Caenorhabditis elegans: one gene and its partners. The protein of the gene in region 3 interacts with the protein of the main gene of each other region in a biochemical or structural test. Each region holds a gene or a part of one and is shown on either strand. Other genes may lie near its edges. The genes, in order: pat-10, tnt-4, tni-1 and lev-11.

Region 1 (7,025 bases), on a different chromosome or scaffold from region 3:
ATCTGGTTCAAATGGTAAACGAGCTAGAGCCAACGGAAATAGTATGACACAAAAAGATTGACACAAGAAGTATAAGGGCAGAATGACAAAATAGGGATAGAGAAAGAGAAAAGGATTAAGTTGGAATTGAGAACTACAGGAAATTGAAAAATGAGAGATAAAATAGAAATGAGGTGGATTTATGAACTCATTGAATCTGAAAAGCTCTCTGAAATTGAAATTGAAATCAAACAAGAATTCTGACGTCAAATAGATTTATAGACAATAAGATGACAATGGTCAAGGGAGAGATTGAGGAAATGGAGAATGAAAATAAAAAGGTTTTCATACGTAAATCGACTTTTTTTGAACATCGATCATTGGTTCAAAGGATTCTATTTTCTGGCACAGGTTACATGTTAATGCATATTGAACAGTTGAGAAGTGCATTTTGGCCGTTTCTGGTGATAGATTGAAATTTAAAAAGTTATTTTATCAGATTTTTCAAAAACTTGGCTAAATTATGTGGAGCCTATTTTTGAAGAATATGTTTTCCAACAATAAGAGTGACCGAGTTTTCTCAGGTTTCAAAAGTAATCTAAGACATGTAAGAAATAATTTAATTTAAAAAATTTTCAGCAAAAACTGGTGAGTTTTCTCACAATCAGAGTGATGTTTTTTGATAAGTCGTGTGAGCTAAAAATATATTTTTTTTTAAAGTATTTAAAAGAATTGTGTATTTTATTTAAATTTTTATTTTCAGAGAATTACTGCAGTTCTGATTTCAGCAGTTATCTTTCAAAAATACTCTAGAAAAACACTTGTTTTTGTTATTTCTGAGTTGAAGCAAGGTAGCTAAAGAATGAAGCAAGGAATTTAAAAACAGTGTTTCAGAATGAGAGACATAGAATTACAGTAAACCAGATACATTATAGACATTGAGAGCATCCTAATATTTGTACCTACTTCAAAGAAACTAACACGTGGCGCTTTGAAAGGGAGTGAGAGAAAGAGAAACGGAGGGACAACTCTATGTCTGTCTCTTCTTCTTCTTATTTTCTAATTTATATTTACATCTGCTTTCTTCTTCTCGTTTTCCCATCTGATGGTTTCCATAGTAAGTATCTGGGCTCTGATAAGCAAAGAGACGGCAGAGAGACTCGTGAAGGGCTTCTGGAGCAATAGTAGCTGCATGTGATGGACACTATTTGGAGTCTCCACCGTTAATCCCTTTTCTATTCCTGGAGGGATATTGGTGGGAAAGTGGATAGAAAAAGATAAAGCCTATGTTACACTAAGTTTATATAGAAAAGAGTTGAGCACAGATAGAGAAAAAGAGAGGGATTTGTTGAATTTAGATTTGGAACAATTGAAATAGTGAAAAACTGTTTTGCAAGTTCACAAGTATCCTGAAATTCATTCGTAGAAAATCTACATAGAGAATTGTCACTTTACTTTTGCAAATTTACAAAAACTGTCCTGTTGCGCTAAAACGGTAAAAACTGTAATGCCGCAGAGTAGAGGTCTCATTTGCAGTGATTTAATACATTTTCCATTTTTCATAATTTTCATTCTATTTAGAGACACTTCACTTTCAAACAACAAGGTTGCAACGGTGAATCTCTATATTTATAGAGATTTGTCATTCCATTCCCCGTAGATGGACTTTTCCCGTTTTTTTAGGTCAAGAGAAAACGGAGCACTATACTGCGGATTTGATGTTGTGTTAAAGGATTTGAGAAGTCTAGTTCTTCTGATTATTTCCTGATTTTGGCCGTTTCAAATTGGTCACACTCTTCCAATAAGCCTGTGGATGTACAAAGACTTTTATTCATTTTTATTCATTCAAAAGAATGACAAGAAAATTAATAAAAAGTGAAATGAATTTAACATTTCAAGAAAAAGGAAATTATGAAAAGTTGGTGACTGGTCCCCACAGTTGAAGATTGTAGATCAGCGCTGAAAAATAAAAAGTTAGTTTTTGAATAAAATCAAAAAAAGCTCGAACACTTACATTTTAAAGGAATTAGAAAATTTAATCAGACTCTCCAGCCATCAACTCCCAGAACTCCTCGAACTCAATCTTTCCGGAACCGTCCTCGTCAATCTCGTCGACAGCCTCCTCGAGTTGTTGATCGGTGAGGTCATCGGCGATTTCTTTGAGAAGAGCCTTCAGAGTTGGTCGAGAAATATATCCGTTACCCTGAAAAATTAATAATTAAAGAATAAAAAGCAAAATCTAAAAGTACAAACCTCCTTGTCGAAAAGACGGAAAGCTTCACGAAGTTCTTTCTCCAATGTTTCCTTGTCGACAGTGTTTGCAACGGTGTACACGAGAGCGCAGAACTCGTCAAACTCGAGCTTTCCGGAACCGTCAGCGTCGAACTTGCGGATCAGTTTACGAAGGGTCTAAAAGAATGAAGTTAGATGCCACATAGATTTAGAAAAATCAAAATCATCAATTCTATAACTAAATTTCATAACATATAGTTATATCTTACTTTAGTCGACATAATAAATGCTTTTGTTCAGATGGAATATCAAAATTAATTATTTCACAAACATTAGTAACATGTTTTAGTGGCGAAAATTAATTGAATTCAGTTGAGAAACAAGCCGCAGAAGATAGGTCGGATAAAAACAAAATTTTAGGCAAGAGTAACCCATTTATATTTTCGGTTATCTTACTCAGTTGGCCTACCTAATCATTACCGTGAAACCTAAATTTAAAAGAGTTGAAAACTTCCTAATTTGAATTATCACTCTTCTGAAGATCCCCTAACTCTACATAAACCAAAAGTTCCAAAATGATTTACCTTCTCATCGAAATCCTGTTCCATTCCATGCATGATTTGACCGATCTGAGTGGCCATGATGTATCCTTGCTTTCCTCTGTCGAAGGCATCGAAGAACTTTTGGTATTCTAGAAAGTTTTAATGATGATTTTTCAATCATAAATATAAAATATCTTACCCTCAATTTGGGATCCGTCGATTTCAGCAAGAATCTCTTCGATATCCTCAGCCTATAAAAGTATAAACATATAAAAATTCAAAAAGAAATTTATTGAAGACATGAGAAAGCGGGACTCACCATGTTGTCGGAGTTTGTTGTGCTCTGGATAAGCTTCGTCGGGCAGAAGCAACGGCGGGAGCGAGTAGGCGGAGGAACCCGAGGGCGGGCTTTTCTTTCTCACAACGGCATCATCGTCTCCTCCACAAAACACATTCTTGGTGTTACACTGGGTGACAGATGCTCCTGATCAACGGGCATGAGAGATCATAGAGGGCGAAGAGACGCAGAATGATATCTGTGTGGAAGTTGACGATGATTTTTGCGAAACACAGGATTCGAGAGACAAGGCTCTCCGAGAAGGAAGGGGAAACGGGAGGAGAGTACGAAGAAAGATTGGGGGGACAGGCAACCAAGGATCAATAAAAGTCCAGGAAATAGAAAAAAAATAATATAATTGGAGTAGAATTAAGTACAGAAATGGAGTTGACAGGCAATATATGTAATTGAACTTTCCCAGAATACTTGGATTCTTAGCTGTACATGGTGACCAGAACATCTAGCCTTTTTGGGCTTCAGAACACAACAACGTTTTTTTTTCAGTTTTTTTAAATGTGCACTGAGTATGTATATCTTTACAGTTTTATATCAAACGTTTAATTTGAATACTATTTTATAATTCTCAAGTTTCTCCAGTAACTTTTTATCGCGTGACACACCATTTTGAATTTAAACTTTATGTTTTTCCAATTCAGTTTAGTCGAGGGGGAGGAGGTAGATTTCTAATCATTCTTATTTATCATTTGACACTAAATTTCCGGATTTCAAAAGGAAACCATAATCGTGAGTTTGGAGCTAACAAGTAACTTCGGAAAACGTTATTTCTTTTGAAGAAGAATGTCGAAGAAAAAAGTGCAGAATACGAACAAAAAGATGAAAGAATGTTGGCTGACACCGATCCCACAGAATGTGGAAACTGTAAATATGACAGTTTCATTCAAGATTGATGAAAAAGATGTCGGAAAGCCTGCGAATGAAGTTATTAGAATTAATGAGAATTCGATGGTTTCTTTCCTATCAACAAACTCGTTTTACAATGGATTGATATTGAGTAAGTTTCCAACGGCCGGATAACCCGAAACTATTTTGAAGCGGGCCAACTTCATAACAGAATCTTGCAACTTCTTACAAACCATTATTTACTTTAGTTTTCTAACAAATTTCTGCAGCTTTTCAGATGACTCTTGCAATTTCTTTTGGCAAACTTTATGAAACATTTCGCTTAGAACTGCTCCGGTTTTTGCAACTTTGTAACATCTCTTGGCAATTGTTTATAAATGTTTGTTTCAAGTTGCAAGAGTTTGCTATGAAGTTGTGATGTTTTGCCGAACAAATGTATATTTATCCCCGATAAAATAATAGGCAAAAATTGGTTTGACTGGTACAAGGGTTTCAAAACTCTTCTGTCCACAATTATACATTTTGAGCCAGGAAAAGTCAATTTTCCTCGGAAGACTCCCTAGTTTCTTTTCCACTTTACACTTTTCCAATTAATGTATTAAACCAGTTTAAAAAACTAGATTAAAAATACTTTTCTTTCAGGCGACAAAATAGTCAAGGTGAACGGTGCCAGTGGAAATATATCCAAGTATCAGACAGAGCTCATGAAAGGTGAAACATGTAGTGTTGAGGTTACAAGACGGAAAAATATTATCCCAGCGACCAGAGAACGGTTGAAGAAATCGGGATGTGTTTTGAGACGGGACAATACGTGCTTTGTTATTGAAGTTGAAAAGGTATAATTGAAGAAAAATCGACATGATTATCTTATTCGAAAATATACGAAATCTGAACTTTGCAATGAGGTTTTGAACGGAGTTACAGAATGACCAATTAAATTCTAGAATTTTGCATGTTTTTTGAGTATGAATTGTTTTTAATTTAAAAAATTAAAGACGAAATTATGAAAGTTTTTTTGACGAAATGTGACGAACTGCTTGTTGCTTGACAACAAAAATTCTCATAAAATAATTGTTTAAAATAACTTTGGATTATACCTAGAACTTATGTCCACCCCTTAATAAATACCATTTACTCCAGACTTCCGCAATGAAAAGTGCAACGGTTGGAGTTACAGTGACATATATTCAAAAACGTGGCATAGTAACTCGAATCGAGCCCAGCTCACTCGCTTCGATATTCTTTGGTCGTGGGGATCTGATAATGGATATAAATGAAGAATCCATTCTGAACGCAGAGAAAAATGACGACTTCATTCGTGAGAAACTGTCGGGAATTTTGAAAGGAGAAAAAGTCACATTTTTGGTTGAAAGACCGGTTTCTGTGGAATCTGCAAACACTCTTCGTCATTTGATTGAGTCAGTTGCTCCAGATCCAGATGTTAAGATGGCAAACGACGCGATATGTATTGGTCGGGTGAGGACTTTTTCTTCAAATTGTACCGGCTGAACGTTTGCTTGGAAAACCGGCGTCCGGTTTTGCAAGATTTAGGACGATCCGTATGCTGGAGCTTCAACAAAAATATTATTATTAAAATAACTAAACACTGGGTTTCTTAAAATCAGAAGTATACAGTAAGCCTGAAACTTGAGAAATTGGTCACCTCAGTTTCCACATCTACTCGGTAAATTATTGCTCCGAGAACATGAATAACGCGTGTTTAGACCACTGGATTGCAATCAAGTCGCCGAATTTCAAAAATTCTTCTGGAATAAATCTCTAGTCGTCACCCGCCTGCACTTTCTGAGCAGCTATTTGTAGAGTAATTTAAAGTGGAGCCAAACTAGAAAATATACAATTTCATACTTTCTTAACAAGACATACGCATTTTTCTTTCAGAATGCAAGCAACATGCACTATAACGTTCTGAAAAAGTTGCAACCAAAAAGCATTTTAAGTCGGGATGTCTTCAAAGGGAAAAATCCTCGTGAAAAGAAACCTGGCAAGAAGTTGAGTAAAGAAAAGGATAACACAATAAAAATATCGGTGAGTTCTTAGCTTAATTTGAAGGTTCAACATTAATATTCAGACTGCAACATCCACGGCAAACATTTCAACGGATGTGGCTGAAGATGAAATCGATAATTTGAAAAACGTTGTTACCAAGAGTCATGCAGTTAGATCGGGTGATGAAGAGGAGGAACGTGGAGCTTTTGATGATGAATGAGTATTTGATCTTTATTTTTCTGAAAATGAAATTTTATTTATTGGTTTCATATTTTGTTGAACATTCTTGGTAATGCTTGTGCTTTTGTGAAACGATAATAGTAATTGTTTTACTAACAAATCATTCCATGCTGAATAAATGAGATGCGAATTTCAGCTGATCGGGATAACCTTGTATGCAACAAATTTTGAAATATAAAATCACATAATGCTGAATTGACAACTATTCCAAAAATATTCCAAAACTTTGAAATATTTTCATTTACAGTGAAAATTGTCTATTACTCGGCTTCACCTAACATAATTCTAGAAGTCTGTGGAAAGACCAATTGTTTTTCCTGAAGTTTTTTTAAATTTTAGTACGTTCTATGTATTTGTACCTAAACATTCTAGGTGTTCGAATCTGCGGTGTTCTATATCCCTCAAAATTTTTTGTCGCAAATAAAACCTTTTCGACCAATCAGTGCCTAGCCCCTCCTACTTGCTAACCAATTATCGAAGTGCCCTAAGAAAGTCTGTAACCATCGCCCGCTCTTTCCATTTTTAAATTCCGCGCTGACCATTCTGCCGTCGTTTCAAATATGTACGCATCTTATCATTACTAAATACCAATATTTGATTCCCCCATTTCTTTGTTCTCATTCGGTTTTTCTTTCTCTTCCTTTTCATCGTCGTCTTCTTTTTTCCCATTCTTCTCTTCTCACTTCTGATCTGAGCACCAAAATGTGTCTCATGTCAAATGTGGAATGCAAGGAAGTAGTAAATTGTAATTGGGTGGGTGAATGTCTCATGCCAGCCCATAATTGGATTATAAATCTTAACGGGGGTCTCTGTCGTTCCGAACATAG
Region 2 (9,274 bases), on a different chromosome or scaffold from region 3:
TCCAATTTATTTGATTTTTAATCCGAATATTTGGATTTTATTTAGCCCAGTAAAAATACAGTGCAATTTGTGTAACTGTAAAAGTTTCAGAAAACGTTCTAAAATTTTTTATCAATTTTTTTAAATAAAAAAAACAAACGACTACATATATATATATATATATTCCAATGCAAATAGATGTAGTTGCTTTAAAATTTTTGCGGTTTCTCTGCATTTTTTCTCAAAATACCCGTATGTGCCACGGGTAGCCGTTTTTGAAATTTTTCGGACATCGAGTTGTCGCGCAAACCTTCGTTTTTTTGTTAATTTAAAAGTGTCCCATGGATTATCGCATGTAGCTCGGCGCTGGATGGATGAAATTTTGAGCTCTTTTTTTAAACCTCTTAAAAAAGAAGTTCCTCACGTTACGTATTTTACCGCTTTTCGATAAGAGCTTATTGAGCCGAGATTTTCAAGGTATAGTCCAAAAATCGTTCATTTTCGTCATTTTCGGGTGGTTTAAATTGAATTAAAATTCGAGTATTCGAGATTATGTTATGATTTTTCAGGAGTTTATACAACTCGAGGATCTCTTTTCAATAAGTATTTTGAAAAAATTCTACGACCAAGTTAAGCTATAGAAGTGGGCTCTTTAGTGTGAAATCGAAAATTGCATATTCCCCCTTTTTTCATGGCCAAGTGGTTAGTAGCGTTGCCTATCGCGCAGAACGCTTCCCTTGGTTCGACCCCCGCCGAGTGTTTTTTTAAATTTATTTGTTTTTGAAGAGGTAATCGGTTGGGAGTTGATGCTAAGGTACTGTAATGGTACTGTAGGGTACTGTAGGGGTACTACAGGCATACGGTAGGGTTACAGTAGTTTAGAAAAATCGGCCGTTCAAAATGAATCAGCCATTCAAAATAGTTTTGCAAAAAAAAAAATATTTAAAAAATGAACCGATCCAATTTGTCATTTTATTTATTTGTCTCGGTCATAATTTTTACTGTTTTCTCCTCCTTCCGGTGTAACTCTTATCTAGACAAATAGAATTTTTAAAAAAAATTATGTTTTTATTATTACCGTTTAAACAATTTTATAAATTTTTTAATATTTATACGCGGTATTCGAAGTGACTACAGTTTAACCTTTAAACTTAATATCAATTTTATGCTTTTTAAATTAATTACAAAATAGGCGGAAGGCAGGCACGTAGGCAGGTCTTTATTCGGCGCCGCGCATTTTTGTTGTCTTATCGTTTGCTATGTTCTTCGAGTGCTCGATACTTTTCAATTAAAAAAAAACTTTTTATTTTAATTTCAAATAAGTTCGACAGGAAATCAAATATTTATTGGGCTTTTGGAACACTTTTTTTTAATTACAATTAAAAATTCAAATTAAAAAAGTATAATAAACATCTCAATAATAATATTCTGATGCAAAATTCCTTATTTTTATATGCAAAAAAATATTCCTAATAGTTGGAATACGTAAATTTTCAGTAAGTACTTAACGGCTTAATTGTAAAACCCAGTATCATGTTAAACGAAATTTTCAGTTAAGCACACTTCATAAATCGACCAAAGAGTGTTGAATTCAATTTTAATATTATTTAATAAGTTCAAAAATTCCAAAAAGTATGATACATTTTCTAAATTTTAGAAATAGAATAGCAATACAATATTGTCATATTTCCTCTACATATCATTATGTGAAACTATTTTTCAAAAAATATATTACTTACATTAAAGAAGGAGTTTGAAAATTAAGATTGGAGGCTTTACTAATAAAGTAAATACAGAAAGCTTTGGCAGGCAACGAGTAGGTGATGGCCGGACATGTAGGTAGGTAGGTCTAGGCTAATAAGCGGGAAGACACCCCTAAAAATTCCAAACATTCCGAAGCGGTGAATTAATAAATTGATTTTCTCAAAAATTTAAACATTGAAAAAAATATAATTTTTCAGAAAAAAATAATCTCATAAAATGGGTTTTTTTGTAAGTGTCGAATTATATAATTTCGGTCTTATTTGATCTTTTCCTCAGGAAGCCACCCGAAATAGCCACAAACATCATCATCAGAACAAGAACTATTTCAATTTCAGTGATAACATTCTAGTGCCACGTTCTCGCCCGCCTTTCCGCTTTTATTAATTGAGGTCAGTAACTGAAATGATAACAGAATATTTCCGCTTCAACTTTATTTTTAACTTTAGACATTGGGAAAAGTTTGATGGGAACATAAAGTGAGAGGGTTTTTTTTTGGATTTTTCTGAAAGTTTCAGAGAAAAATTGAACAACAATTAAACGTATTTGCAAAAAAAAAAAGATAAAAACTACTTGGATAAATGATTTTTTTTTTTGGTTTTTTTATTGGTATTATCGACTTAATAGTCTTCCTCTTCCTCGGCGGCTTCAAGCTCTTGCTGAATCTCGTAGTCCATTTTCTTGATCACCTTCTCGTACAATGCCGGTGGTGGGGCAACTCCTGGGAAGCATGGGAATGCGATTTTCTGGAAATTAAAAAACATGGTAACAAATCGAATAATTTTGAATTAAACTAGGTAAGCTGAAAATACAAAAAATTAGGAATATAACATACCTAACCAATTTTAAATTTTCTAATTTTTCTATTTTTTTGGTATTCCAAAATCAGGGTTTTGTAAATTCTCAGATAAAAACCAGCCCCCAATTCAATTTTCAAACAAATGTTTTAACTTACGTTCTCATAAACCTGACGGCGCTCCTTGAAGTTTCTTCTGTCGATTTGTCTGTCGTATTTGGAAGAGATTTGGACCTTTGGCTGAAAATAATTTTGTTAGTTATTATAATTTGTCTATTAATGCCAAAAATCCTAATGAACATACTGGATGTCTTCCTCCGGTGTCGTCTCCGCTGACTTGTCCGTTCTTGGCGTTGTTGGCACGGGCCACTTGACGGGAACGCTCATTCAATTCTTTCAGCTGAAATTTGCAAACTTTCCGTATTTTCAGTGGTTAAATTGTTAAAGAATCTGCCTATGCTGCAGCCTATCTAGGGAACCATCAGAAGGTGCCCATCGGACTTACATATAAGACCTATGCCATTCGATAGCCCATGTCTTAAAACGGTTACTCGTGAATTTTTAGCTGCGAATCTCCAGAACCAAGCTCACGGCGAGCTCTCAAAGATCCTAAAATAGCACTGTAACGAAGCACTGTAACGATCTAAAGAAGAAATTTTCTTAATTATCTTTAGTAGCTCATATCTCGGCGGATAAATTTTTTACAGAAAAGTCATCAACTGATAAGTTGTTGATCTTTTTGTAAAGAACAAGTTTGTAGTTGAAAGTTTTTACCAACAATTTTTTGTATCAGATAAAAACATTATAATAGCAGCAATAAAATAGTAACAACAGTTGCCGCACTTCACGCGCTTCTATCTGAAACAGAATTTTTTTGGTGGAAAACTTTCAACTACAAATTTGTTCTTTACTAAAAGATCAACAACTTATCAGTTGATGACTTTTCTCTAAAAAAATTATCCACGGAGATATGAGCTACCAAAGTAAATTAGGAATATTGGCCATTCAATGCTTCATTATAGTGCTATTTTAGGATCTTTGAGAGCTCGCCGTGAACTTGGTTCTGGAGATTCGCAGCTAAAAATTCACGAGTAACCGTTTTAAGACATAGGCTATCGAATGGCATAGGTTTCATATGCAAGTCCGATGGGCACCTTCTGATGGTTCCCTAGTAAGCCAATCAGTAAGTTTTGGCCTAAGTCATAGCCTAAGCCTAAGCCTAATAAGCCTAGCTACCGCTCGCCACTTACGCCAAGCCTAAGCCCAAGCATATGCCTAATCCTAACCCTATTCCTAAGCCTAGACTATGCCAAGCCTAAACATAAGCCGAAGCCTAAGACTAAGACTACTTACATCGTACTCCTGTCTCTCGTGTCTCTTCTCCAAATCGTACTTCTGAGCCTCCAACTTGCAGATTCTTTGATGAAGCTCCTTGATCTTGGCCTTCATATCATTTGGAAGAATGGTGGAAGCCTCGGCGATCGACTTACGAATACCGGCCATGGCGACCGACTTAGCCTCTTCCTGTTGTTCTTTGGTCATTCCCATCTCTTGTTTGGCCTGCACGATGTTTCCGAAACGATCTCCAACTCCGGCGGACTCTTCCTTCTTCTGGATGACAAAGTTTCTTCCACCCTGTTGTCCTGGGAATCCTCCACCCATCATCTGAGCCTTCTTCAGCTTCTCCTCTTCCTTCCTCTTCTTCTCCTCTTCGGCACGAGCACGACGCTCCTGCTCCTCCTTCTGTCTACGTTCCTCGTCGAGACGCTTGCGCTCGGCAGCTTCACGCTCTTCTTGCTCTCTGGCGAGCTTACGCTGAGCTTGCTTCTCCTTCAGCTTCTCCAACTCTTCCTCTTCCTTTTCACGTTCGGAGCGACGAGCCTTCTCGTAGTCTTCCAACTTGGCCTGTTCGTCGTTCTCGTGACGTCTCTTGGCGGCGAGCATAGCCTTCTCACCTTCATTTAGAGCTTCTCCGCTGAAAAATGCATATTGTTAGGGTAATTTATTTTTTCAGAATGTGATGATTTAGTAGTGTCTCAGTGATTTTATAGGGTTAGATATTTGGCATTAATTAATTTTTTTCAATTTAGGATAGCAACCGACATTTTTCAGGGCAAATTGTTTTTTAATGAGGCTTTGAAAAAATAAAATGTTCCGGATATTGAGATCTCTCTCTCATTGAGATCTCGATTTCCGTTATATGTCGGCTGCTCTTATTCCTACACTAGCCATTGAAAGTGTGCAGCCGACAATTGAGAAACCCGAGGTTTGCCAGCTGCCTTCTACAAATTGCCGGATCCCGTATAATGTCGGCAGCTCATACTTCATAATGACAGTCAGTAAAACTTTGCAGCCGACATCTCGAAGGTCAACAAAAGTGCATGCCCGACTTCACATGATTTTAATGATATTTTGGTCCCGTAATATGTCGGCTGCTCCTACTTTATACAAAAATACAGATGTGTTCTCATCGGATACTTCGATTCGTCGGTTGCTCATTTAAAAGTAAACTATTTCCAAATATCTGACCCTCTAACCCACTCCAATATTGCATGGATAATGGAATTGTGAAAAGAAAGAAAAAAGTGCAAACAGTGATGCCGTAAGTGTATGTGCTTGAGTGCGAAGAAAATAGTGTGGCCGAGCGCGGAGACGCAGGCTTTTCAAAAGTTTTTCCACTCAACAGTACTAGTGATTTGATTAGAGAGATCACGGCGGTCTTGGATAAGAAAAGCCTAGTAGTTTTTACTATAAGATAGGAAAGAATTGAAAAAAAGAAGTACTCGAAAGAGACAGGAGCGTGCGAAGAAGCAGCCGGTGTTGCTGGACCACCGGTTGCCGTGGTGTCGACAGAAGCTCGCTTGAACCTTTCTTCCTCTTGCTGCTCGGTGTCCTCCTCCTCTTCGGCTTCAGCCTCCTCGACCTCCTCGACTTCCTCCTCTTCTACCTCCTCATCCTCGTACTCGGAGCTGGAATTTTAAAACTTGAAATATAACATTTTTTAAATTTCAACTCACTATTCCTCGTCAGACATGTTGATTGGTGAATTGGTTGTAAAAAAAACCCCTGAAAAAATGTAAAAAATCAAAAGTTAGGAAATGAAACATAAATTGGAAGCAAGGGGAAGAAGAGCAAGTGTTACATAGTGTCTTCAAAGTTTGCCCACCCCAATGAATTCCAACAAGTGGTAGTGGGGAGGCGGATCTCGAGTTTCGGTGGGCGTACAGTGTATGTTAGCTTTCTTTTCTCATCCCGCAAACTGCGCAAAAAGATCATGGAAACATGAGAGAGATTTGGGAGAGTATCCTGGCAAATCGCGGGTAAGCTCTCTTGAGAGCTACCTGTGTGTACAATCATGTCGCGATCGGTGATGTGCTCTGGTGGAGACAGGGGAACTGGTGGTAAGTGAGCAGGAAAAAAAGTCAGGAAGTGATGGTTAGTCAAGGATCTGAAATGGCTAACTCATGGATTTGGATCAGAAATTTTAAGGATTCCCCTCTAAATTCAATGCTTACAAGGGAAGTCGAAAAACTGAACCCCGGACTTTGACATGCCATAGTAATTTTTCGATAAAAGAGTGAAAATGATGATCTCTCCAAGAAATTTAGCTGCCCCGGTCCAGGTTCAGCAAAGTTATGACGTTTTGAAAGTGGCTAGACCACCTTTTTAAAAAAATTTCAAAAATTTCAAAAAAAAATTTTTTCTTCTGAAAAGTGGAAAAAATATCTGTAAATGATTCAAAACAGCGAAAAACATATGCCATGCAAGTCTTAGCTCATAACTCTCAAGAAAACCCATAAATTAACCTATTAGGTCAGTCAATAAGTTTTGTCGCTTTTTCTCATCTTTGATTTTTTCTTAGATATTTTTTTGTGGTTATATAGAAGACTGTTAGTAATGATAAGCCCAACAATATCAGCCATATCGGACTACTCCCAGATATTTTAAATCTCAGAACTGTGATGACGAAAAAAAAATTTTTTTTTCGATTTTTTTTTATTTTTCGGCGAAATGAAAAACTTTATATGCCCTGATGTATTAGACAGTCAGTTGAATAAAAATCTGCAGTTGACGCCCCATGCGTATCTTTTTGGTGGCGCTACACTCCTTAAAATGGCCAAAAATGCTTGCAAAAATGACTTTTTAAAGTTTGAAGGGCGCTAACTTCCGGAACGTGCAAGATACAAAAAAGTAATCAATTACAACATTAATAAGCACATCAATTACTACATTTTATCAGTTTACCACTATTTCCTATCTGTGCCCGCTGCTAAGTTACAGTCAGTTGAAACAAGCTAAGTCCAAGTTTCAATAAACACCCTTTTTCCAGATTTTCGCCTGTAACTCTAAAACTACTTGTTTGACAAAACTTTTGTCAAGAGCTGAAATAATTAAATTTTTATTTTTCACATTTTTGTAGTTGAAAATTTTGTTATACATAAGGTTTATGCAAGAATATTACTCATCAAAGAAAAAAATATGCGTAGTTTTTTAAAAATGGAAAAATACTCCAAAGTTCTATTTTTCTCTCCACTAAAGTAAAGCTGATAAATGAAAGTATATGCAAAGTTTTAGTTAAAAGTAACTTATTCATTTTCAAAAATGTTTAGGCCTTTTCCTCTGAAAATTTTTTTAACGAAATTTTTTCACGATGATTTTTGAAAATTTTTATAAAATTGGACGAGCTCGCTTAATTGTCTCATATCTTTGCCAACACTTAAGATATAACAAAACTTTCAACTACGAAAATGTGTAAAATTAAAAGGAGATTGTTTTATCTGTTGACAAAAATCTTGGAAAACAACTGGTTTTGGAGTTACCGGCAAAAATCTGGAAAAAGGGTGTTTATTAAAAGTTGGACTTGGTTTGTTTCAACTGACTGTAACTTAGCAGCGGGTGAAGATAGAAAAAAGTAGTAAACTGATAAAATGTAGCTCTTGATATGCAAAATAATTTTACAATTGATTATTTTTTGGTATCATTCACGTTTCTGAAGTTACCGCCACTAAAAGTTAAAAAAAATCATTTTTGCAAGCATTTTTGGTCATTTTAATGAGTGTAGCGCCACCAAAAAGCTACGCATGCGGCGTTAACTGCAGATTTTTATTCAACTAACTGTCTAATACATCAGGGCATAAAAAGTTTTTCATTTCGCCAAAAAATAAAAAAAATCGAAAAAAAAATTTTTTTTTCGTCATCACAGTTCTGAGATTTAAAATACCTGGGAGTAGTCCGATATGGCTGATATTGTTGGGCTTATCATTACTAACAGTCTTCTATATAATCACAAAAAAATATCTAAGAAAAAATCAAAGATGAGAAAAAACGACAAAACTTATTGACTGACCTAATACAAGGAAAAGTACTTTTTGGAATTTTGCTCAAGATATGTAGATCAAGCAATGTGGTTTTTTGTCCGTGGGAAGAAAAAATGTGCATAATATATGTTTTTCACATTTTTGGATAAGTTGCAATAGTTTTTATCAATTTTTAGAAAACAATTTTTTTTTGAAAATTCGAGTTTTTTTTGCTGTGAGTGATTTGCTGAGTGATTTTTTTTCTGCACTTTCAAAACGTCATAACTTTGCTAAACCTGGACCGTGGCAGCTAAATTTTTTGGAGAGATCATTTTTTTCACTCTTTTATCAAAAAAATACTATGGCATGTCAAAGTCCGGGGTTCAGTTTTTCGACTTCCCTTGTTAATTTCATATTCAAAATTTACAAAACTTTAAAGTGGAGTAGCGCCTGCGGGTTTTTTTTGCAAAAAATTACCGGAAAAAGTATCAATATACAGGAAAATGACTGTAAAAAATTATAGATGGTTTCTACATTTTTTATGATTTTTTCAATCAAATAAAAGTGGCTATGTAGAGTATTTTTCATGTTCCGTGCAAATGAATAGACAAGCTTTTTGGCTAATCTTATTTGTTTTTTTTAATGTACATTTCCATTGATATCTGGTTTGTCAAACAGTCATTTTTCCTCGAAATAAAAGAGACTTAAAATACAGTTATTTGATCAATTGAGCTAATTTTGGAGTTTCAGCAAATTTTTGTGCAGGTGACCATGTTTTCTTCACGGAAAAAGTCGGAAATTTTGCGTAGGAACTCAAATATAAAATTTTAAAAATAAAGATTTCCTTCTAATTGGAATTTTGCTAAATTTTGCAATTTCAAAATGCTTTTTAAAATCTGAGAAAAAAATCAACAACAAAAAATTGCCTAGCGAGACGTTCGCCTACTGAAAAAAGTTAACAATACGCTTTATTTGCATCTAAGTCTTATAAAATTTGAATTATTCATACATCACTAAACTTTTAAGCAAAAACTCTTTGAAGGACCGATTTCTCATGGGTGAAGGTGTCGAATCCGAACTTTCCACGGTACCGTCCCATTCCGGATACTCCGACTCCTCCGAATGGCAGGGTTATAACTGAAAGTCAGAGTTATTTTTATACTTTATTTTTCACTAGAGAGCTTACCAGCAACATGCATAATGACGTCATTAACAGTTACACCACCACTTGTAGTTTCATTTAGGAATCTCTGAACTTTGGCTTCATCCTTGGTGAAAATGTAGGCAGCCAATGGTTTCTCGCCTTTATTTATAAAATCAATGGATTCGCAGAGGTTTTTGACAGTGATAATTGGCAGAACTGGCCCAAAAATTTCATCATGCATAAATGGATCTGTTTTTTCGACGTCAAGGACTGTTGGTGGAATGAAACGATCCGAGC
Region 3 (7,001 bases):
TAACATTTAAGTCCACTTTTCAAATTGTTCTCGACGTTTTCTGTAGAACCAGAGCTTATTGCTTTTATTCCTTCTATCCCATCCTCCATGTCCACCAGCTTCCCAAAATCCAATCTGCCTATCTCAGCTCGATCCATTCCTTGTTTACTATTTATCTATCAAGTTGATGGTGGTTTTGTCATACTTGTACTGAATGAAACAAAATTGTGTTTTTATTAAAATCTATTGTTTGATTAAAACATATTAATAAATGGATGAACGTTAAATATGCAACATATTTGATCCACGTGGGGTGATCGGTGCCACGTTGTTCATGGAAAACGCAGAGATTGCAGACGGGCGACGCGAGAGTGAATCCATTGGAAGCGAACCATTAACAAAAACTGGAAGTGTGGTCGGCTCCTTAGAAGCGTCGGTTTTGATGAAATTGATTGTTGACCAGGCAAAAATGAATGCATTTGCATACGTGGCAATCCACGTGACCACTTTAAACACCTAAAATTTATTCATTGATTTTTATCGTTTGTTGAATGGTTTGTTACTTCATTCTTATAGAATCCGTAATAGGTTTGTCTTCCAGTGTCAGTCACAGACGACTTGATAGCCAGCATCATTCCTAAGTCGAGCAGATGGAAGATCAGTGTCCCGAAAATCTGTAATAAATCCAATTTATTGATATAACACATTGAGTTTTAATGAGACTCACCTGACTGGACAGCCAGATGTTCATCCGGCGCATATTCAAAACGTCGCGGGCGGTCATGTCTTGGCTGTACAACTGGGCAATCATATGCTTTCGATAAATCCACCAGATTAGAAAGCAGACGACGATCATAAAAAGTTTCATATGATCCTGAAAACAACGATTTCCTAGTTTCTGAGCTTCTCTTGAAAATATTACCGGGGTAATGAAGGAAATGAGGGTAATGATTATTCCGTAAGGTATCAAGTAGGTATGTGCCAGTTTAATTCCGCGTGGACTGAAAAATGTATTTATTAGAATGTTGTTTTGACAGAAACACATACTTTTGATTAGCGAATTGGGCAATTTGAATTATGAGAAAAGCACTGACAACAAACCAATACAAAGGCATTTGAGCCGTTACTAGCCGATCACAAATGGAGATCACAAACTTTGGAATAAATGGAAATGTTGAGTACGTAACATATTCTACCGAGTTGACCATAAAGGAAAACTGAAATTGTGTGATGCTACAGTTTTAAAACTAAAATTGAATACCTTCTGAATGACCAGTGCCGCGCCGAAAGTGATCATTTGAATAATGAAGATCGCTTTGAATGTGTGCTCGGAGATGAAGAATGTTTTTCCGTGAACCAGAAAAATTATCAGGTAGAAAGTGTAAAATAGGAATCCTAAAAACTATAAATGTATTAAAAAAATTGTGAACTAACATACCAAACATTTGTGACAGAAGTTCCAGATAGTGAATCTTCCGAAAAACGTTCAAATCAACTCCTGGGAATTGATTCGCAACTCGTGAGTTGTAGTGGAGCATTTCATCGTAGGATGAAAATTGAACTCTTTCCATATTAAACCAATCTCGAGTTTAACTCAGAATCAAAATGGCTTATCGAGCTCCTTTTATTTCGTCTCAACCCGGTTACACTTGGTGACGTCGGAGAAGGCGGCGATTTGCGTTTCCAGGTGTTTTTGCCTTATTCCCTGTTTCATTTACATTTGTTAGTTTGACAGCTGAAAATCGTTAGGATAATTCACACAAATAGAAATGCCTTTCTGTGCTGCTTTCGAGTTTTGCTCTGTAATTCCGGGTTGGTGATAACTTCATTTATTGCGAATATGCAGAAAAGAATAAGATGGAATATTACTGAAAGAATACAAAGAATGTATACTGGAAATTTTGAAACAGTATAACGGCAGAACAAAACAAATGAAGATTTATAAAAAAGGGCCAAATACCTTTTACATGCACAAAATTTTAAGAATACTCAAACTCAAAAGGCACATAAATTGAATTGATGAAATGTATTATACGCGAGAATGATTAGTTAGATTCAGTGAACAAGATAATGACAACAATGCCGGTATTTATTCCTCGTCGGCTTCTTCTTCTTCTTCTTCTCCCTCAGAAGCAGCAGTTTCTTCTTCCTCAACTGGCTCAATAACTGGTTCTGGGGCGCTTTCTTCCTTCTTCTCTTCCTTCTTCTTGGACCATTCTGGCTTGTCAGATTTCTTCTGAAATGTGGATTATTGTAAATTCAATTCATCAAATATCAATTTGAAAACAATTTTTAAAGTTATGTTGATAAAATAAGTATATGTTTCTGAGTACTACAAATTGATATAATTTATTATTTTGAGTTTTTTGGATTCTAAATGTCAATTTTAAACATTGTATTTAATGTTCTATATTGATGTATTGTTTCAGCCAGTTTTCAATATTGTGAACACAAAATATGTGTTCTAGAAATTTTTCTGGCAGGCTACTTTTTGTTAACATGTTTTTCTTGACAGTTCAAGTAAAAACTAGTTTTATATTCCAGTTAAACTTATTACAAACTTACCTTGTTGGCAATTTGAGTGAAGACGCTCTCTTTCTTTACTGTCTTGAGATTATTTCTCAAGTTCTTGCTTCCATCTTCCTTCTTGGCTTCAGCCATCTTCTTGAACTTGTTGTCATACTTGGACACCTTCTTCAATGATGGTTTTACGCTGAAAATAGTTTTTTCTCATGTCATGCGGAATTGGAGCAGGTGAAAACACACTAGCACTGCTGGGTTTATTTAAAGACATACAATTTTCCACGAAGATCGTTAACCTCAATGTTGAGTTGATTAATTGTAGTTTCAGTCTCTGTGGTGATGTGGTTGATATCATATTTCTCTTCCTCCAAGTTGCAGAGGCGGGAGAACAAATCATTGTAGATAGCCTCGAGCTTAGCTGAAATATACACAATTTTGTTTGTTGCCTAAAGCACTGAACGAACCGTGATCATCAATGCTGTCAACATTTGGAAGAGCAACGGTTCTTTCAGCAAGGACCTTGACTCTTTCTTGTTCCTTCCGCAATTGCTGTGTCTTAAGATCCTCAGCAGCCTTGTTCATAAGAAGCTTCTGAAAATGAATCTGTAAGTGTTGAAAGTCAAATGTTCTCTTACGCGGAGCTTCTTCTTTCTTTCTGGAGTCAAAAATCCTTTCTTCTGTTTCTTTTGTCCTGCTTCTTCAAGGCGCTTGCGCACCTCGGCCTTTTTGGCTTCGCGTTCTTGGGCTTTTCGTTGGGCATCCTGAACAATATCGTTTCAAAAACACAAATGACTTTGTTTTGTTTACCTCGCCATCGGTTTCGTTGGCAGCTCCGCCGTAGCGAATGTTCTCATCAATTTGGCTCATTTTCAAGTCCTTAAATGCAAATTGATTAGAAGCACATTTACAGAAAACAAAGGTTACGACTACTATGGGATGTGCCAAGCAATTGGTGGAAAGCGTTAGAGGTACGGTGGGTGTGAAGGTATTCAAGGGTGTGTGTAAACGTGAGAAAGGGGATTCAAATTGAAAACAGATTGATAGAAGAGGCAAAACCATGAAACGGAATGAGTCTAAAGTGTTTGGGTGTGAGGTTTGCTGGAACGATACGCACACAAACGGTATTTTTATCAGCTCAGTGAATGTTGTTCGAAAAAAAAATAAATAAAGGAAGACTTAGTGATGGGTGTGTTATTAAGCGATTGAAACATTAGTGCAGATCCAACTAACTTTCTAGTCAAAAATTTGAAAGTAAGTGTATATTAAAAAGATAAAAAATGACTGAAATGCATGCGCTCACTTTGGCAGGTTGATGTAAGAAGTGAAGAAGTACGACAACATTGTGTTGGTTACCTTGTATTCAGCCAAGAGATTCTGGAGCAATTGATTACCAAATTTATGACTGTTTTTCAGAAAAAAAACACATTAGGTACATGATCGTCATATATTTCAGACATGGTTTCAAAATTGTTATTGTTGGTAATGAACCAATTTTGGTGCTCCAATAAACACTTTGTCAGTTTAGTTGTAATGTATTGTTCGAACCACTGTAGGAGTATATTACAATAACCTGTACGCCTATCGCAGTACTTTGAAATTTTAAATACATTCTGAAAATTTCAATCTGCAAAATTTTACAAATAACAAACATTACAATTTTTAACGTGGTTATGTGCGAGTGGTGATGTTTAAATTGGGACAGTGCAAGTGCGAGCGAAGTGAACAGAGGGAGAAAATAATATCGGAAAACATAAGATTTTCGAAGTTAGAAGCGCAAAGACATGTTAGGTGAAAAAAGGTAATGGAAGCTATAGGGGAAGTTAAAATTAAACAATGAATTTATGGTGGAATGGCCATCACCAACTGATTCAGTGCGAGTGTTTTAGTTTTTGAAACCAAAAACGTGAAGGTGAGAGTTGTTAGTTGAGCGGATGTTGTTAGGAAGCAAGGAAAGGTGGTGGATAGAAGGACAATAATTGTAGTTGAAAGGAAAATTCGAAGTGAGTGAAGTGCTCTGCAGAAGCTCTGAGAACAAAATGAGCATACACCATTTTTTCGCGAGGGCTTCCGAAACTGACAGCTTAAGCGGTAATTATCGTGTAATGGCTTTCTTGAAAGGCGTTTCATTGCGTGTTTTGTTAGCCTCGGTCATGAATCTGACAGCGAATAGTAATCAAATTATAATACTAAAAATGAAATTTTCGGATCTAAGAATTGGTGGTAGAAACAATTTTACGTTGCTCAAAACATACAAATTTGAAGTAGTAGTGCGTGAAAAACGACGACTGATGTGAGTGAATAGAAAGACTTCAAAACGAGAAGTGAGCACAAATAAAAATTTAATGAAGGTCTTATTATGTAGCTAGAGGCAGGAAAAGGGGAGAGAATACTGAATACTCAGTTTTGGTTGAAGTAGTTTCTTTTTTCATCATAGATTGAGTGAGCAAAAATATATTTATTAAAAAGTATATGATTTGATTCTCATTCCAGACAAGTCTCGAGTTTTTGTAATGGAAAAGAAACAAAACTCTGAAAGTAAGTTTTGAAATTAAAATATGCAGAAGAAGCACAGTTGAATGGGCTGAAAACGAAATGAGTTGAACTAGAAGACATAAATGGGAAAAGGGATAGAAAGAAGAAGCATAAGATGACGAAGAAGAAGGAAAGGGGAAGAAAAAGAAATAAGAAGATTCTGGAATGAAGAATGGGAATAGCTTTCGATGTGCCGTCGCATTGCGGGGGTTGCTGAGATTTGATTTGCGAGTGCTTGGCTGCGATCAGACAGAATGTATTGAAGTAGCATCAAAAAACTGGAGGAGGTGGCAGGAGAGCAAAAGACAGGACACACGGCTGGTGTCAGTTGGCTGGCTCGCCGAATAGTACAATGTGTGGCGGCCTGGAGCTGGACATTAAAGACATCAGAGCTCGGGCAACGTTTTGATGGGATTTCAGTGCTCTCCTGGAATCGCGTTGTGTCTTCTACTCCTCTGATCATTTGTTTCGAGAAGAGCAACGCTAAGCTCCGTGGATCGTGTTGTAATACTCATTTTGATGTGCCCTTCAATTCGACGCAGTAACAGCAAAAATAAAACGTGGCGGACCTCTCTGCCCACCCACCCATATGTTGTATTAGCTTCCTGATCAAATGTGTCAATGGAAAACACAGATAGAAAAAGGCCGAACTTTTTATCTATGTCTATTAAATTTGAAAAAACTGGGAGGTGAAAATAAAAACTGTTGATATGTGAGAAGAATATTGAATCAATGAACAATTCATTTGAATTCATTAAAAACGTGTAAAAGTTTTACATGTAACAAAACTTGTATTAGTGATCTTTCGATTTCCCCACCGTTGCTATATTGACGGAATAAAATGTGGAATAGTTCCAGTGAGAAAATTCTTCGAATTAACTCATGACTTAAAAATGAAAATATCAATTTTTTTCTCTTTCCAAAATATAGTTTAAATTATTTTATTAACCGGCTTAATATGGCAATTAGCTAATATATTTCATTACTAATTTTGAGAGTCGACATAAAACTCAACGATATGGATGCAACCACTATGTTTTGTTACTTACCACATTTTCCCTATTAGACTTGCACTCAAAATGAGAAATTGAAAAATTTTAATTGCATACAATACTAATAGGGACAATACGATATACGCAAACATCACGGAATCGACTTTTTGAAAACGACTTTCACACAAGGTGAATATGGTGAAACCGAAACCTCAATGCTGCAAATGATTAGATTTTTTATGATGAACAGACTACTAAGATTTTCTAAAATTCTCAATATCAAGAAATTTCGAATTTATACTACTAGTAAAAACTAAAACGAATTGCAAATCTCGATTTTTGTTAGCTCTGGGGAGATGGGGAACTAGTGGCGAGGGGCAACGAATATGTATGACATGTGGAAGTATCTTATTGCCTTGTAAGAATCTAAGACACATGGAAGACGAGACACGTGTTTGGTTTGCTGGGGAGCTAAAAACAGATGCACGATGATTATTACGTAACCTGGAAATTGGAAAGAAATTGAAATTGTTGAATGAACAAAAAATGTTCTTATTGGTTGTATTGTGCTTAATCAAGTGGAACAGTTTTGAAAATAATCGTGTTTAAGAAACTGATAAAATTGTCACTTTTACATATGCGAATAACTGACTAATCAAAAATAAGTTCAAGACAATCATTTTTTTTAGGCGGCAAACAGTTTTAATTCTGCTTTTCAAGTGCATTAACTTTGAAGTTTTTACCAAATCAATATAAACTTTCTGTAATTTTTTGTTAAACCTGATATTTTTTGTTCACAGCTATAATATTATAGTAACTACATATTTTGTTCTAATTTTTTACGTCGAAAAAATTATATAAATTTTCCAACGTGTGAATGATTAAAAATTTAAAGTAGAAGAAACTATTCTTTCTCGAAAACTGCGTTGCGCCAGTTAGGAAAATATTTAAAATCTACATATGGTGCTAAAATGA
Region 4 (7,997 bases), on a different chromosome or scaffold from region 3:
TATGAATGAATATACATTAACAGAAAACCGGAAAAAGAAAAATGTACACTGTTTTCGATATTGCTAAAAACATCAAAAATCCCCATATCCGTTCAAAAACAATATTGTGTTATATTGTTTTACAGTAATGAAATTGGAGGCAAACTGTCCCCAACTACCGGATTTTGTAATGAGACGTCTTGAAAACTTCTCATTACGAAATTCGGTCTTTTTGGGGCATTTTAGTCTAATAGAGCAAAAATTGACTTATTTAAATATTAAATTATTAACCTGAATATATACTGAAATGGAACACCGACTTAAAATAAAAATTGATTATAAGGATTTTGTTTAAGTATTACCGTAAATATATTCAGTAACGGAAAATCGAAAAATGGAATGTGTACACTATTATAGTAAATTTTGATACCGTTAGATAACAATTGCATGTTCAAAAATTTGTATTGAAAAAATTACTAAACCTGACAAAAATTGAATATATACTATATTATACTGTATTAGAACTGTTATTGCTATATAGCCTCTAATGGGAAATGATTATTTGCTATGGTAAATATCCGGAAAATTTTAAGTTTTTTTTTAAAAAGCGTAGCTGAGTAGTAAAGCTTAATGAAATAATGCAGTAAATACGAAAAATGCTAAATTCAGACAGAAAACCACAGTCTTCAGGAAATTTCGGCTGACACTACTTATTTTCATTAACGTTCAATTTACGATAGCGTGCAAAAAGTAACAATATTTCCTCTAGCCTTATGTAGACTAGAAGTTATGGTAATCACGTTTGATATAAAATTGGGTTGAAGTACTTAATTTTGCGAACTTATCTGAAAATTGACTAATCCGTCAATGCATAATTATAGTAAATATGTCATTTTGAACATTAATTCGGATAGAATGAAATTTAGAAAAGAAGTGTCTTTTCTTTTCCGACACATCCAATACGAACAGATATTATATAACGAGGTCCCCCTAGTCATATTACATGCAAGACTAATCGATAGGAAATAGTGTAGCAAGTAGCTGGTACTATTCATGGATCTATTTTTCATCACCATTATATAATCGTAATACATACATACATGCATATATACATGATCACGAATCTTAGTTGACATTAAATTATCACGACTTATTTAGAAATACTGTCTATGATAAATAGTTTTAACAAGTATTCTCCTACAAAATCATTAAATATAACCCTAAATTCAAAATAAACCACTACTATTATACCTCTTCCACATAATCCACTGATATTATCAAACAAGTTGCCCTCTTGACAATAAACTCTCGAACGCCAACTGTTTCGAATGTTTTGTCGTCGGCTGGATGCCACAATTGCTTCTTTTCGGGGATAAGAAGAAGAGCATATACACACAAGTAGTATTGGATTCTAATGTCAGGATTTCAAAAACTGAGACTCTGATCATTGACCGACTTTTGGGAATCTGAGATAAAAAAAAAGAACAATAACAAAAAAAAGTTTAAGGGAAGTAAATGCGTTTCTATGGATAGTGGGTAGGGCTGTACAAATCGGCGTCCGGTCGTCCGATTTTGACACCACCGGACGCACATGCGTCCGGTTGGGGGTAGCTATCCACGACGGCCGACAACTTCCGAGTTTCGCCACTCACTATACTTAATCAGCAATTTTATAGTGAGTGGCGAAATTCGGAAATTGTCGGCCGTCGTGGATAGCTACCCCCAACCGGACGCATGTGCGTCCGGTTCGAACTTCGGACGACCGGACGTCCGGTTGTACAGCCCTAATAGTGGGTAAAGAGAAATGGAAAAATATGGGAATGTATGAAAATTGGAAAGATGAAATGTGGTACTTCTTATTGTAAAATTAGACACTAATCAAATTCCGGAGAACAAAGCTATGTAACATGGCACTGTAAAAACTGAGCTTGTCATATTTTTTAAAATTCAGTTTTGATTGTTCAGTTTTCTTTAAAAATTCATTCATGAATAGTTACAGTAATAGGATATCTTATATCACGTGTGCATTAGTGTTGCAACCCTTTCCATAAAGTTTCAAGGTTCTTAAAAAAAGGTTCAACTGGAAAAAAACCATACTTGTAGCATACTCTTTCGTAGTGTAATATTACTAGGGAAGCCCAGATTTATGATATCTGTTCATATTGGATGTATGGTGAAAGGCAATATGATTTCGTTATGTTAGGCTTGAAGGCTTGTTAATAGGCTTTAAAAAAGGCTACCAGTAATGTTAATGTTAAGGTTGAAGCCTTGTTAGGCCTCGAAAATGAGACACTTATTTTTTAATTTTAACTCCATTAATGTTCAAATTTAAGGATGTCCTTAAAAATGTAACTAATTTTAATGACACCATTACTTTAATAATTTATTAAAGTTTTAGTCAATCTTGAGTTAAATTTTCGAAAATTTTGCAGCAATTTGATTTTACATCACTTATGGTTATTATTACTAACAGTCTAGATATATAAGAAATATCGTTACTATTTGTACGATAACGTAATTAACAATCAAATTGATAATCGTTTCAATTTTTTAATGTAAAGAGGCTCAGAACGGCTTTTGCCACGTCATCAAGCGACCACGCGAATATCGGTCCTGGAACACCATACCACCTTACTAATTATGTGGTTTTTTTTTAAAGTTTTGTTCCTTTTTCCATTCCACGAGAAACCCTTCTTCTCCCCAATCATCATCTTTTCCATCTGCCATCGGCTCTTGCTCTTCTCCCCACAATTCCCGTTGCTCCGTGTGTGCTGTAATATGCTCCAGGGGGGTGGGTGGGCAGGGATCCCATAGGCATAGGTCTCCACGAAATCAATACTATCTAATCATCTGCCACACCCCCGTCTGATGTTGTGGAGGAAGTGAGAAGAGAGAAGAAGAAGAAGAAGAAGCGGGGGCTCGTGTGGGAGGAGTCTCGTGAAGACGGGAACCTGAAGCTAACGGGAGAAGAAGAATCATTCTCCCCTCCAATTTGAATCGTCGATACTCCGTGTGTTTCAACACAACAACAAACTACCAAAAATGGACGCCATTAAGAAGAAGATGCAGGCCATGAAGATCGAGAAGGTTTCCACACTTTTTTTAAATTTTAATACTGTTTTATAGTGAATTTCTTCAACTTTTTCAATTTTAAAATTAGTAGTGGTCATATACATTCCAATATTTTGAATTTTTCCTCAAAACCATATACACATATTCTAGGACAACGCTCTCGATCGTGCCGATGCCGCTGAAGAGAAAGTCCGTCAGATCACCGAGAAGCTCGAAAGAGTCGAGGAAGAGCTCAGAGACACCCAGAAGAAGATGACTCAGACCGGAGACGATTTGGACAAGGCTCAGGTATGGGTTTAAGCCAGAATTTAGGCTCTTTGCGTATATTTTATCGATTTTAAGACCCCATATAAACTGGCTTCCTAAATTTTCGCTTAGATCTTGGTTTGATAAGACTTTAAGCTATCAGATTTTTACCAGGAAGCTTAAAAATTCATGAAAATCGCAGGAGTTTCTAGAAGTTCCAAAATATTGTCTAGCTTCTACTTTGATACCATATATAATTAGCGTATTATTAATACCTACTTTCTCAACTTAAAGCCGCTATCCCGGAAGATTTTGGCCTGAAACTGAGCAAAGTTCTGAAAAGCAGAAGTTGAGCTCTAAATTTCCTAATTTTTTGGAATCAAGCTTTTACAATACCTTATATATAGCGAATTTTGATTACAGTCCGATTTCAGAAAACAAAATTTTTTAGAGACACTGGCGCTCAAGTAACCTATAAAATCTTAAAGTATAACTAAAAATCACCCTAAAAACAAAATTCGAAATTCATAGTGCAGGGTGCTCAATTTGTAACTTTTAGCCCTAAAAATTTAACCTGGAATCTAAAATTTACCTAGGACACCACTAGAAATCAAATTCGAAGCTCATGGTGCATCGTCCACCTAGGTCTACCTGTCTCCCTGGGCTTATGCTCCTAAGCTGAAACACTTAGGCTTAAGCTAAGCTAAAAGAATAAGCTCAAAATCAAACTTCCATTTTTCAGGAGGACCTCTCCGCCGCCACCTCCAAGCTCGAGGAGAAGGAGAAGACCGTTCAAGAGGTGAGTCGACTTTCTTTTTAAAGCCCAATCCGGGCAGCTTTTGGTTTCTAAACCGACTTCAGGTATTTCCAATTCCCAATCCACAAGCACAACGACCAGGTTTGTGGCGCGATGTTCAAAGTCAATTAATCCGTTAATTAGTCAGTGAGTAGTTGGAATGAAGAGAGAGAGATACATACATATATACAGCTAGTTTTCCATTCCTGTCCTTTTGGGCATGAAAATGAGTGAGAGAGGGTGACGTTGATGATGATCCGCGGTTTTTTTCTCTTTTCCACCCTCTTTCTCTCACTTCCCATAGGCTTCTTCCCCCACCGGGGTAGCTATTGTTTTGTGTGTGTGTGTGTGTCTTCTTTTTTCAATAATGTTCATATATATATATATATATTGTTTCTTCAAATGTTTGGTATACATTGTACTGTATTCAATCATGATTCACTTTTTTCATTCCGTCGAGAGTCAGAGATAGGGTACTGTAGAAATCCTTCTTTCCCGAAAAAGACTTGATCAGGGTGTGGCTGTTATCTAGTTAGCATGTTATATAACATTATGTAATGATGTTCAAACCAGATTGGCATCACTTTTAGCTCGGTTTTCCAGATTTCCCAATTTTGTAAGTTGTCATTATACTGTTTTATTGAAAACTGATTGTGAGCAAAAAGTGTTGTCAATTTATGTAATTCCCTTTAGTCATTGCTATACGTTCTTGAAAAAATTTTGTTGGCTTAAAACATTCTTAAGCTCCGGCCTTAGCCAAATTTTGCAAGGCTACTTTTCAATATTTCGGAAAATTCTAAGTGGTGCCATGTGATATTTAATTTTCTAGCTTAACAAGCTATTAGTTTTCAAGTACTGATCCTAAAAATTTAAAGCTTAGAGCAGTGGCATTTTTTTTGGAATTTCACTAGTCTGGCGGTAACTTTAAGCGAATGTGATCTATTAACACGTGGTGCCAGGTTGTCTCATTGAAGTTTGATCTACAAAAAATGTGGGAATTTTTAGTCAGCACATTCTTAGCCATGCGAAATCAGTTAAGAACTGTGCGTCTCTTCTCCCGCATTTATGTAGATCAAACCGAAGTGAGCCACTCTGACACCACGTGTAATATAATAATCCAGCAGAATTCAAATTCCTCGTGGTGATTTTTCATGCATTACTTTTCATAGTCTTCGAAAAAAATGCTCAATATTTCCAACTTCGGAGTATTTCAAGTGTATGTTAAGCCTATTTTGAATCCCACGCATCACCGAATTTATCTAGATTCCTAGAATATCTACAGTGCATTTTTTTCCACTTCTCCAACTTTAAAGGAGGGCGCATTTATACGAAATGGTCCCGCCACGCGGCCCAAAAATCAATGCGTGGCGGGACCATTTCGTGTAAGTGCGCCCTCCTTTAAAGCGGTAGAAGTGGAAAAATATCAGTGATTTTTAGGAAAAAAACCTTTTTTTGTCGAGAACTTTTTTCCCTCTCCCGACGTTTTTTTTGCACACAACTTGGCGCGCCGAAATCCAATTTCTTTGCGAAAAGCTCAATCCCATTTTCCGTTACTGCTCAAATGAGCGAGAGGCGAAGAAGAAGAAGAAGATAAAGTTCGAGGAGTGTATGAAGTGCTGTTGGGGGCTTCCTTCCCCTGCCTGCGCCATTGTCTAATCTCTAAGTCTCTCTAGCTTCTCTCTCTCTCTCAATTTCTTCTCTTCCAACTGATTACAACGAGATGTTTGCTTTACAACAACTCCTCCCCGCCAATAGGCTCCCGAGGGCTCACTGAGCATCAACGGGCGGCGCGGCGGGAAAGAGAGAGAGAGAGCATCTCCCCCGCAATTTCAAGAAACGAGGAGAGCTGTGTGATCGGCTTCTCGGCATTTTTCAAGGGGCAAGTGAATGGCATGTCAGTTGAAATGGAAATAAATGAGAATAAATGAAAGCGCACACACCAAAATAGAAACTACAGTAGTGCCTAATGGGTCTCGCCACGATTTTCGTAAAAATTCTAAAATTCCTAGGATTTTCTTCCGAGAACTAGGCAAATGCGCTGCATTTTCAAATTTTTTAAAGGAATTTGCAGGGTCTTAGGTACTAATTTCTAGGGGTTTTATTTGACATTTTCAGGCGCTTATTGCGGAATTTCTTACTTTTAGTGTCAGGCTGTCCCATTACTGTTTGATCTACAAAAAATGCGGGAAATTTAGAAAGAAATTACAATAGTACCGAGTAGGTCTCGCCACGGCAAGTAGACGCAAGTTTTGACTCTTTTTGTGTAAGGTTTTCGGTGGAAACTACTCTACAATTCCCAGGGTTTTCCCTCAGATTTTGGTTCTCAGATACAAATTTCTAGGGTAGGCCCTTAATGCGAAAATTCTTACTTTCGGTGTCAGGCTGTCCCAATACTGTTTGATCTACAAAAAATGCGGGATTTTTTGTGACATCAGCACGTTTTAACCATGCAAAATCAGTTGAGAAGTCTGCATCTAAATCCCCGCCATTTTTGTAGATCTAGGTAGATCACACCGAAATGGGACGTGCTTTTGAAGGGCAACTTTTGAGCGCCCAAAAGTTCAAAATTTTGGGGAATTTTCCCGCCTAGCTAACAATTTTTCCTGAATTTCCAAGTTTGTTCGGCCAGTGTTCCCAGTTTACAAAACTGGCATTGAACTGTCATTCAGCTCAAGACCACCTACCAATTAGAGACACCTTCGGTACATACACCCCAGTCAGCCGGTTTCCCGGTCTCCATCTCTACCACAATTTGAATAGAACATGTAATTCGGGTAAATACTCGACGTCTTTTCTTCCTCTCTCTCTCTCTCTCTCTCTCTCTCTCTCTCTCTCTCTCTCTCTCTCTCTCTCTCTCTCTCTCTCTCTCTCTCTCTCTCTCTCTCTCTCTCTCTCTCTCTCCAATTTCCTTCTTTTGTTGAAGAACACGTCAATGTACCGCCCTTCCGGTCAAAACACTCAACAGGAAAAGGAAAGGTCTCTCTCTGTATTTGGGAAGAAGATGCCAATCTGCGTTGCAATATTCTTCGCCCCCTGCCTCCTGCAAAAAGCTATTCATCAAGCCACGTGCCATTGTGTGGGACATCTCTTTCTCCTTCTATGTCTCTTTTGGAAGCTCTTTCTATGTCATACAACATAGTATTCGATTACTAGTCACTTGGCTTCACCCAGATGGGTCCAGTTTCTTGGAAAAACGCTACTTTTTTACAGTAAAAACATAATTTTTTGGCTCAAATTTTGAAATTCTCAGTGAAATCCTTTATGTCAGAAGAAACTTGACATTTTTTGCTAAAACCCGCAATTTTTGTCCAGTTTTGGAATTTTCTTATAGTTTTCTTGTTCCTGTCTTTCCCTGATTTTGCTCGTGGTGCCAGGCTGTCCCATTACGGTTTGATCTACAAAAAAATGTGAAATTTTTTTTTCACTCTGACACAACGTTGCTTTGAGCATAAATTTTGAAGTTTCTTGAGCATTCCCCTGAGTTTCTGCCAAAAATCGAAAAAATTCTAGGCGGTTTTACAATAAAACCTTGCTTCGGACGGTTTTCAAAAATAGTATTCCACTTTTAGCCAATTTTTCTAAGTATTTTAAGCTATTTTGGGATCCCACATGGTGTCAGAAAGTCTCATTACGGTTTGATCTACAAAAAATTCGGGAATTTTTTCCCAGAAAAATTGTGAGGCCTTTAGTCATGCAATCTCCCGCATTTTTTGTAGATCAAAGCGACATGGGACTTTCTGACTCCACGTGGGTGCCTGGCCTAACTTTTGCTATACACTGAGCTCTTTTCTAGATTTTGTTACAATTCCAAAGCTAAAGCACGTGCCTACCAGAACCCACATTTCCATAAAAAAAACCCCACAAAAAGTGCGATTCCATGCTGTTCTAACCCCAAAATTGTTTG

Evidence for each region.
Region 1: the proteins of tni-1 (region 3) and pat-10 interact in far-western blotting, tested with the Caenorhabditis elegans proteins (2 studies listed by BioGRID).
Region 2: the proteins of tni-1 (region 3) and tnt-4 interact in far-western blotting, tested with the Caenorhabditis elegans proteins (one study listed by BioGRID).
Region 4: the proteins of tni-1 (region 3) and lev-11 interact in far-western blotting, tested with the Caenorhabditis elegans proteins (one study listed by BioGRID).

What each region holds. Positions count from the first base shown.
Region 1 is NC_003279.8:5,016,989-5,024,013, forward strand, and holds pat-10 (EF-hand domain-containing protein), read right to left. Parts: upstream 3,099-7,025; 5' UTR 3,076-3,098; coding exon 3,073-3,075; intron 3,005-3,072; coding exon 2,953-3,004; intron 2,903-2,952; coding exon 2,796-2,902; intron 2,389-2,795; coding exon 2,233-2,388; intron 2,183-2,232; coding exon 2,015-2,182; 3' UTR 1,994-2,014; intron 1,939-1,993; 3' UTR 1,795-1,938; downstream 1-1,794. Other genes in the region: C46H11.6 (PDZ domain-containing protein), read left to right, coding at 3,889-4,102, 4,594-4,787, 5,092-5,427, 5,851-5,997, 6,041-6,178.
Region 2 is NC_003283.11:1,987,317-1,996,590, forward strand, and holds tnt-4 (Troponin T, skeletal muscle), read right to left. Parts: upstream 5,598-9,274; 5' UTR 5,571-5,597; coding exon 5,554-5,570; intron 5,506-5,553; coding exon 5,320-5,505; intron 4,512-5,319; coding exon 3,890-4,511; intron 2,937-3,889; coding exon 2,841-2,936; intron 2,777-2,840; coding exon 2,696-2,776; intron 2,487-2,695; coding exon 2,361-2,486; 3' UTR 2,159-2,360; downstream 1-2,158. Other genes in the region: alh-5 (Aldehyde dehydrogenase), read right to left, coding at 8,855-8,970, 9,020-9,274.
Region 3 is NC_003284.9:11,374,093-11,381,093, forward strand, and holds tni-1 (Troponin I 1), read right to left. Parts: upstream 3,379-7,001; 5' UTR 3,370-3,378; coding exon 3,310-3,369; intron 3,264-3,309; coding exon 3,138-3,263; intron 3,094-3,137; coding exon 2,967-3,093; intron 2,921-2,966; coding exon 2,776-2,920; intron 2,693-2,775; coding exon 2,545-2,692; intron 2,216-2,544; coding exon 2,069-2,215; 3' UTR 1,795-2,068; downstream 1-1,794. Other genes in the region: F42E11.3 (Brp/Blh family beta-carotene 15,15'-monooxygenase), read right to left, coding at 507-653, 707-853, 902-980, 1,027-1,196, 1,241-1,374, 1,418-1,517. UniProt on the Caenorhabditis elegans protein: Troponin I is the inhibitory subunit of troponin, the thin filament regulatory complex which confers calcium-sensitivity to muscle actomyosin ATPase activity.
Region 4 is NC_003279.8:14,625,984-14,633,980, reverse strand, and holds the start of lev-11 (Tropomyosin isoforms a/b/d/f), read left to right. Parts: upstream 1-2,886; 5' UTR 2,887-3,021; coding exon 3,022-3,066; intron 3,067-3,201; coding exon 3,202-3,339; intron 3,340-4,039; coding exon 4,040-4,096; intron 4,097-6,928; exon of another isoform or gene 6,929-7,001; intron 7,002-7,997. UniProt on the Caenorhabditis elegans protein: Tropomyosin, in association with the troponin complex, plays a central role in the calcium dependent regulation of muscle contraction. Involved in muscle actin filament organization and muscle arm extension and morphology.